Kluyveromyces lactis: one gene and its partner. The protein of the gene in region 1 binds, or shares a complex with, the protein of each later gene. Links are inferred from orthologs where the notes say so. Each region holds a gene or a part of one and is shown on either strand. Other genes may lie near its edges.

What was found. Proteins that work in one complex are often made in the same cells at the same time.
Region 2: SYO1 (region 1) and RRS1 share a complex: the UniProt entries of both Saccharomyces cerevisiae proteins name them as parts of the hexameric 5S RNP precursor complex. The link is inferred for Kluyveromyces lactis from reciprocal best matches to the Saccharomyces cerevisiae genes SYO1 and RRS1.

What each region holds. Positions count from the first base shown.
Region 1 is NC_006041.1:442,610-447,569, forward strand, and holds SYO1 (Syo1p), read right to left. Parts: upstream 3,504-4,960; coding exon 1,653-3,503; downstream 1-1,652. Other genes in the region: PEX19 (Pex19p), read right to left, coding at 1-492; E2 SUMO-conjugating protein UBC9, read left to right, coding at 837-1,310; ECM19 (Ecm19p), read right to left, coding at 3,860-4,132. UniProt on the Saccharomyces cerevisiae protein: Nuclear import adapter that specifically recruits the two functionally and topologically linked ribosomal proteins RPL5 and RPL11 (encoded by RPL11A and RPL11B).
Region 2 is NC_006038.1:1,138,370-1,142,060, forward strand, and holds RRS1 (ribosome biogenesis protein RRS1), read right to left. Parts: upstream 1,802-3,691; coding exon 1,187-1,801; downstream 1-1,186. Other genes in the region: KLLA0_B13024g (SWIB/MDM2 domain-containing protein), read right to left, coding at 203-577; FUS2 (Fus2p), read right to left, coding at 2,054-3,691. UniProt on the Saccharomyces cerevisiae protein: Required for ribosome biogenesis.

The sequences.
Region 1 (4,960 bases):
GTCCGTACCGTTGCCATCGCCGTTTTCCACTAGTTGATCTAGCAATTGGGAAAGAATATCGTCTGAGTTCTGATTTTTCTTCTCTTCCTCCAAACTTTCATCCACTTTCGTAGAATTTTCTTTCAATCTATCTAGGGTGTTGGAAATGATATTCTTGAAACCAGTACCGCTCTTCAATTGCTCCTGAACGTGTTTTACACTGTTATGGTCTTTCTCCTTCGATGCATCTCCAAGTACAGTTAGCAATGTCTCGAAATTCTGAACCATTTCTTGGTCAGTATCACCGCCTTCCTGCTGCATCAATTGTTGGAACTGTTTCTGCAAATCTTCCATCATCTCGACTACTTCTGGATCATCGCTCTGCGTAGCAGGCTCACCCTTAGTAACTGCCTCATTTGGAACAGTTTCTTGTTTTTCCTGTTCATCCAGTTTGCGTGGATCCTCTAAATAGTCATCCAAATCATCAAATTCGTCAACTTTGTTGTCTGACATCGTTTGTCGAAGTATCTGATTACTATCCGTTGAAATTTTGGTGGTGCGTAGCCCTTACTATTAATTATACCTCAGTTAAGGTTTCTTTAGTCACTGTCAATTCTGAAAAATATCACTTTTTCTTCAAAACACTATTGATGCTTTTTCTACAATATCAAAATCATCTTCAAAATCACAAACAAAAAGACGTATCGCACGGAATATCATATCCTCCAATTATTCAACAACGGTAAATCTGAGTTAAGGCTCTATTTACAACAGGGCGCAACGTACCTTAATATATTTACGGTATCTGTATATTAAAGCGACTCGACGATCAGAACGGCCGAATAATATAAACAGTCATGAGTAGTCTTTGTCTACAGAGGTTACAAGAGGAGAGAAAGAAGTGGAGAAAAGATCATCCTTATGGGTTCTTTGCCAAACCAACTAAAAAGACAGATGGATCTATGAACTTGCAGAAATGGGAGGCTGGTATCCCTGGAAGAGACGGCACTCTCTGGAAAAATGGTCTTTATCCTTTGACCATTGAATATCCTGATGACTATCCGTCAAAACCTCCTAAAGTGAAATTTCCAGCAGGATTTTATCACCCTAATGTTTATCCCAGTGGAACCATTTGCTTATCAATCTTGAACGAAGATCAGGACTGGAGACCTGCTATCACCTTGAAACAACTCTTACTTGGTGTACAGGATCTTTTGGATTCTCCGAACCCTAACTCACCTGCGCAAGAGCCAGCTTGGAGAGCTTTCTCGAAAAACATTAAGGAATATGAGAGGAAAGTCTCAGAACAAGCTCTTAGGTATACCAAGTGATACCTCCATAATACAACTTCGGAAGTAAACCATTTACTGACAGAGAAAATGCAAATACGCAGATGACGGCAGATATCAACTTGCGGGAAACCCTGGGCCTTCCCCAGCGTAAAGCGCAAATCAAATAAATTTGCTGTATTCTATGGCTCGATTTATTCTACGGTGTTGACCATTGTTATATGGCTGTATAGAGATATATCATAGGATGGAACGATCCAGTAGGTGTATAGTTCTCGTGTAAAATTTAAAATTAATATCAAGAATAATGCTAATGAATACTTGATTTATTCAATTATTTTGTATTTTACTATTATCAGGTGTAGACTGTATATATTTATTGTTTTATTTGTTACGTTCATTTTGTTTGTATGCAATAAAACTATCCAATGTAGAAAAGCAATCCTGACATCTTTCTTTCAGTTGAGGATCTTTGTTCTTGTCAACAAACTTGAAAACATTCTTCAAATTTAATGAAACCTGTGTTTGAAGTATCGAAAGATAGTTCAAGTTTACAAATACTGGTTCATCGTAATCAAAGTTCATGTCTGAGTATATTTCAAAGAATGTGTTCATAAAATCTACTACTACTGGTGCTTTTGTTTCCTTGCTTGAAAGTGTATTGATAAAAAAGTCACCTATGGCTTTGTTTAGTTCAATTTGGTTTTGGAAACCAGCTAGAGTACCTAGTACACCGCAACAACGTTGTTGCAACTCCACACCTTCTTCAGGATTCAAACTTTTTCCCTCGTTGAAGACGTTAATTATGGAATCAATGAACTGTTGATTGTTTATTTGAACTACTCGGAAGAAATCACCAGAACCAGAGGTGCCAAAAACGGCTTGAACATTCTTCAACAATGCCCAGGTTACACTTAGTTTCCCGATTTTAATACCGAAATCCTTATCTTCAGAACCATTCTGCATAGCTGACCAGAGGTGCTCCCAGTAATTGCCCAACTCAAAAAAGCTAATCCCGACAGATAGGTAAAGCCATAGAAGATTGTTCCATCCAATCAATACTCTTGAAGTGAAATCAGTGTATAATGCAGAAAATACAGAAGGAACATTTTGAGTAAGGACAGGTAATAATGAACCATTAAGAGGTTTATGGCTTTCTTCGTATTTAGCACCGATCAATTCAATAGCTGCAGCGATCACATCAAGACTGATTTCTATACTTTGAAATTTGATCATGGCTTCGGTCCTTTTCTTAGTGTAGTCTTTAATCTTTTTTGTTATTTCTTCATTACTTTCTTTCATCAATTCAGAATCCTCGGTCTTGTTCGATAAAGTCGATTTTACCTCAGCTAAATTAATGTGTTCTACGGATTGTAGTACCTTGGTTATTATTGATGCTGCGATGTCATAACTTATGTCTGTATCCATGAATTGTAAGTAGATACCTTGTATTAGTACCTTAGTTAACTCGTTATCGTTGGCAAACTCCCAATTAATTATATTCTCGACAAATGGCGAGAGAAATTCATGTGCAGAAACTTTATCGATGAATTCAGAAGAATCACTAGATATGTCATAAATAAGGTCCAAGACAGTGTTGAATAACTGTGTAGTTGTTTTCAAAGTCACGGTATTATCAGAAATTACCATACCGTAACTCAAAATATTAGTCATAACAGCGAACACTTTATCCAATTTATCTGTCTTGACGACGTCATCAAGTATAGCATCCGATCCGTTTACTAATGCCACTAATAATGATAAGATATTTTCAGCAAAATCGTATAACAGCCTTTTAGATTCCTTTTTAGCTTTAGACTCATCAGATTTCATTGATTGTAGTGACTGTTGAACTTGCGACAAACCGGACTCAATATTCACCCAAATATTCAATCTCCAAATATGCGTTGCTAAATCATAGCCCTCTTCTAGTGCTAGATTTCTTAAAACACCGTAAGATTCTACCACGATATCAGTATTGGAATCCGTCAATAGTTTGGATGTAACAACATTAACCAATTTTTCCTTTAGGAAAAGAGATCTCATATGAGGATCTTCACATAAGACCATAATCGTGCCTAAAGCTATAGATCTATCGTTTGGAATCACGCTGGATAACTGTTCTATCAATGGTTGAATTCTCTTAGTTCTAATTTGATCATCTTTAGCAGCATTTCTCAACAATGGATTGGCACGAGCATTAGAAGCTCTAGATCTTCTTTTTGATTTACCCATTTTACTTCTCGGCTATTTGTAAGGATAGAAACTCCACCAACTACTCAATGAGTGCAGTTTCAGAATATTTGCACCTTGACAGACGTTTACTTCGTTTCAATGACTACAGTCCTTAATGCAAGTTCCTAAAGACCACTTTTGATGCGATGAGCTTTTGAAAAATTGTACTTCTCGCTTGGAAAAGAAATCAAATAAGCTTCGGAGGTACAAACAAGTCACGTGATAAATAGGTGTGGTTCATAATAATATATGTATATGCATAAGATGCGCTATCCGAATAAAATAGTAGTATATATTTACAAGAGGATGACGGGGAGGTATTCGACGTATCTATTGTCAACGGTGAACAGCCGTTCTCATTCCTGGTCCTTTTTCTTGGCTTGTTCTCTAGCAAGTTTTTGCTCCGCTAGTACCTGATCCAACTCTTCCCTTATTTGTAACATACTCTTTGGCAAAACAGGATTACCATCTTCATCATACTTTGGAATTTCGACATCGGTTCTCAAACCCCCATCCTTCTTCAACTGATCGATTACGATAGGTTCGAAAAACCGTGTACCGGTGTATACACCGATTGCGCAAATGACCGAAAATATCACCACATCCATACCTCTAATTCTGCCCACCATGTTCGTTACTTTCCTTACAGCTCACCTATTTACCTCCTTCCTCAATATATTATTTAATCACTCGCTCAAAAGAAAGGGGGTCTCGAAATAAATAATCAGCAGTTGCAAGTGTCACCAATTTGTCCTGTAACCTGGCTTAACTTTCAAGAAACTTGATGTCCTTTAAAAAATACAACTTAGTATTTTGATCGAAAAAGAAAGAGAAAAAGAAATATTGGCGAGTAAAAGACATAAATTCTTCCGTAGAAGTGAATCACCAGGTCAAGCTGGTGTGGGATAAACTAGTTCTCGGGGCATAGCGGATGCCTATCCAACCCAAAAACACCTACTTCTCTGTTTCTTGTTTCTAGTTACTTCTGCTTTGTCTGTCTTGAGCGTTTTCTATTTAAACCATATATAAATGAATCTTATGACACATTCCCAAATCATAACATCAGTCTACACCTACACTAACGAAATCTTTAGCTGTGGTTGTCTTTCACTTTTGTAGATCACACAGCAAACACGGTAACAAGCACATATATAGGAGGTTAGAGTACTATCAGACAAGAGATTAGTACTTTAGAAAAAATAGAGCGCAGACAAATACACATAGCATACCAAATACACAGGCGGACTGTGGTTCTAGTTTAAGTGTATTTTTCTGTTTTTCATTATATTGTTTCCACACGGCTGTAGGGAAATTGGCCAAATTCATCAATTTTCAAACTTTTCATATTGAACAGTTTCAGTTAAGTGAAAGAATATCCAGATTTTGGAAACATACAGATTTTAAAGGTTTTGATATTTTTTCTTCGGATTAAATCAAAGGCTTTTTTTTTTTGAACA
Region 2 (3,691 bases), on another chromosome or scaffold:
CTTATGTATTTGTTTTGTTTATTAGAGATCCAAGTTTCATAAAGGCGGACTCTTCAAGAATTTAGATACAGATCGATGGTACATAATTAGATGCCAAGACATAAAAGTTAGAGGATAAAGACGAGTAAAATAAGCGTGGTGTCGATAATGATACAATAAGATATGGCGGGAGCTATTTAGCATTATATATATATTGTTAATGTCAAGGCTCTAAGTCGCTATGCTGTTCAGTGATTTCGTCTTTTTCTGATTTTGCAAGGTTGAATAAATGCTTCGAGAGTATTTTATTCAACGTGAACATGGTCATCTTCTCACCAAAAATGGGTTTCATGGCATCATCACATATGATTTCCCTTCGGTCCTCCGGGTTCTGAAGGTCATGCTCCTTAATGTAGTCCCAAACAGATTTAACGACTTGTGTTCTGGGCATCTCTTCCACTTTTAAGAATTCTTGTAATTCGGGACTCAATCCTACTTTCTTCAAGTGTATGCTGTTCGGATTATCGTTAGCCACCTTCCGCTTCTTCTTCTTTTTAGGTTTCTTCTCTTTTTTCCCACTCCGATGGCGTTTTAACATGGCAACTTCGTCGTCATGCAGCTTCACTGCAAGCTTTGAATCCAAATCCACCAGTTCTTCATGTTTTAGGGTTTTACTTTGTAAATCTTGTAATCGATTGAACCGTGATATGATCAGTTCTTTCAAATCATGCTTGTGAGAATTCAAATCTACCGAAAATAACTCCTGTAACGCTTTCCGTATTCTCTTGGCACTTACTTCCTCTGGGTTTGACACGCTTAAGATGGCCTGGTATGGATATTCACATCAATGTGATAGTTTGAAGTAGTTAGTATCTTGCTCGAAAACGATTCGCTTGATAAAAAAGAAAGGGGGAAACGTACATCTATCATAGGAACATATCTCTTGAGATCACTCATTTCCGATCCTGGTGATCTGCCGGCACCCTGTGCAAATAATATTCCCATTCATTCTCTCATTCTTTGAGGCTCTGACTTTGTTTAAAGTATAATGTTGAAATTTTGTATACGCAAAAATACCGGCTGTAGGAGGGCTTTGAACCTGATAACGGCAGTGAAATGGTCAATACGAGAAAGAGTAAGTTGGTCTATTATACAGTTTATGTAACCTAGTGTAAGGTGTGTAATGCAGTTATATAGTATGTAACGTTTATTTCACTTGGTTCTTCAAGTTTCTTTTCTGTTGCAACTGGTTCTTCTTTATCAATCTCTTTCTTTCGGCTCTGTTCAAAGTTCTTGGGTCAATCAACTCGTCTTCGGTACCCTGGACCTTGTCGTCCACCTCGACCAACCATTGGTCGTCAAGTTCTTTGTTGGAACCTTTGTAACCCCATTTTGGAACCCATTCACCAGCTGCCTCGTCGTAAATCATCTTCCCGGATCTTTCCTTTGGCTTGATACCCTTCTTGGCAGCAAATTGTTCCCATTTAGTTGGTGCCTTAGGCTTAGGTAGTGGTTTTTCTCTTGGTAGCTCTGTTGTTGGCTCTGGTAACTGTACTAAAGTCATAGATGAGGATTGTCCACTGGATCCACCTGCAGATTCTGTGGTAGCTCTGATAGGAAGAGAAAGAATCTGGTTGATCAACAACTGCACGTTATCACGGGTCAAATCTTTTATGTTACTTTCACGAGCAGCATTGGATGAATCAAAATCGTTCCTATCCAACACGTTTGTGTCAAACACTGCTAGGTTACCCAAATCGTATGTGACTGGAATAGCCTTTTCAACCGTTACTGGGCGTTCGCTGTACTTTGTTGTAGACATTCTTGTGGTTTCTATACTCCGTGTGTCGTAAACTGAAGTAGCTGAGTGTAATATCAAACAGGGAACTTTTATACACAAGGCGACTTAAATCAGATAATGTATATAGAAGTATCCAAACAGTAGAGCAGACAAACCTCTCGCTTCTTTACCTCATCTCATCGGGCATCTCTCAGTTGTAAAGCTTTTTGGCATTTTTCTTAAGTGAAAAATTGCAGAAAAGAAATAAAAGTGCGGGTAACATGTATATCTATTTCACAACTCAAATAACCTTCTCACAACTTTACTGGCTCTTGGATCACCGTGGTAGGTCCAGTTCTCTCTTATTGCATGCCTCGTATAGTACCTAGAAGAGCAGAACAGCTGGAGAATGTCAAAATTATCCCCCAGGTCTCGCTGTCCCGAATTGACTAGTTCCAATTCTTTGTTGAGGAACTGATCTCCGCCAGATATGATTTGCATGTACTCCATCATCAGTAAGGTGTACTGAGACACGAGTAGTGTGATTGCTTCTCTGGCATACTCGTTGAATATGGGCAAAGACTCCGCTAGTTGATGTTGTAAATCTTGGAAGCTATTTGCGAGGATTTGTTTTTTGGCGTCGTGGGTTTCAGTGTCGCGTTGTCGCAGATATGCCATGTACTCTTTCTTCAGTGAATTTCTGTCTGCCAGCTTTTGCTTCACGGTAGCAAATCGTTGTAGTAGGTGTTGCAAAGGTTTAATAACTTTCCTGCGGAGATCTTGGAGTTGTAAGATCATCACTTGTTGACGTTGTTTATCGATTTTCTCGACATATGTTCCATATATTGTTCTTTCATTATCACCAGAGTGAAACATTTCATTAGGCGGTTCGAACTCTATTAGATTTTTCCATGTGATTGCGATAGTCAGAGTTCTATCCAAAACTTTAGCTAATTCCAACTTGCACAGAGCTTTATCCCATTTTTGGAGGTTGGCATATATGTTGTTGAACTCTTTGATGCAGTCCTTCAGTGAATTCGATGAGTTGAACTTTGATTCTTCTTTTTCTTCGATGCTATTCAAATGTGAATTGTGGAGGACCGCGCCTGTTGGTTCTCCTTGTGGTACTTCTTCTTCTACTCTTGTAAATGATGGGATATCTGAATAAAAACTAGATGATTTGGAAATTTGTGAACCTCCACGGGATCCAGATTTTGAAGAAATGTTGTCATTCTCCTTTTCTTGAGTCACCGCATTTTCTTCTCCTAAAATGCTTTCCTTTGCACGTCCGGAATTATTTAGTTCATCGTTTAGATCCCTTAGATAACTAATGTATTCTTTTGATATCGCATTCATCTGAACAGACCGTTCTGGTGATAGCAAATTGTCACCAAATAAACATAAGTTCTCGAACAATGACCCCCATTGGCCTAGCCTCTCCAATGGCAACTCCAAGAGGTCTTCTAACTTCTCAAATTGTGATTTTTTTAAGCATAACTCGTACCACTTGTAAAACGTTTCCGTGTTTTGCAATTTGATCGAGTCTAGAAATCGTTTCCTTTCCTCATGACAGATGCAGTAGCTATGATATGGGGACTTGATTCTATGTAAATGAGATTTTATCAACGTAGAGAAATCAGTATCAAGTATAATTTGACATAACTTGTCACTCCCTTTAATTTCCTTCCAAATCCTGCTCTGAGTACCAGCATCTGTCACTTTCAAGCATTCTGATAAATTTTTGCAGAATAATTTACTTAACTCTGCCATCGTATCTAAATTCCCAAACAACAATAGCTCATCGTTTGAAGCTCTATTCAACAATTTGTTCCTAAATTTCTTGTTGTGGCATGCTTCTTCCTTGTAAGTTGATAAACATAGACTCAACATTTCGAAGTATTGTTGCTCAGACTCTAAAAGCTTTTGAAGAGT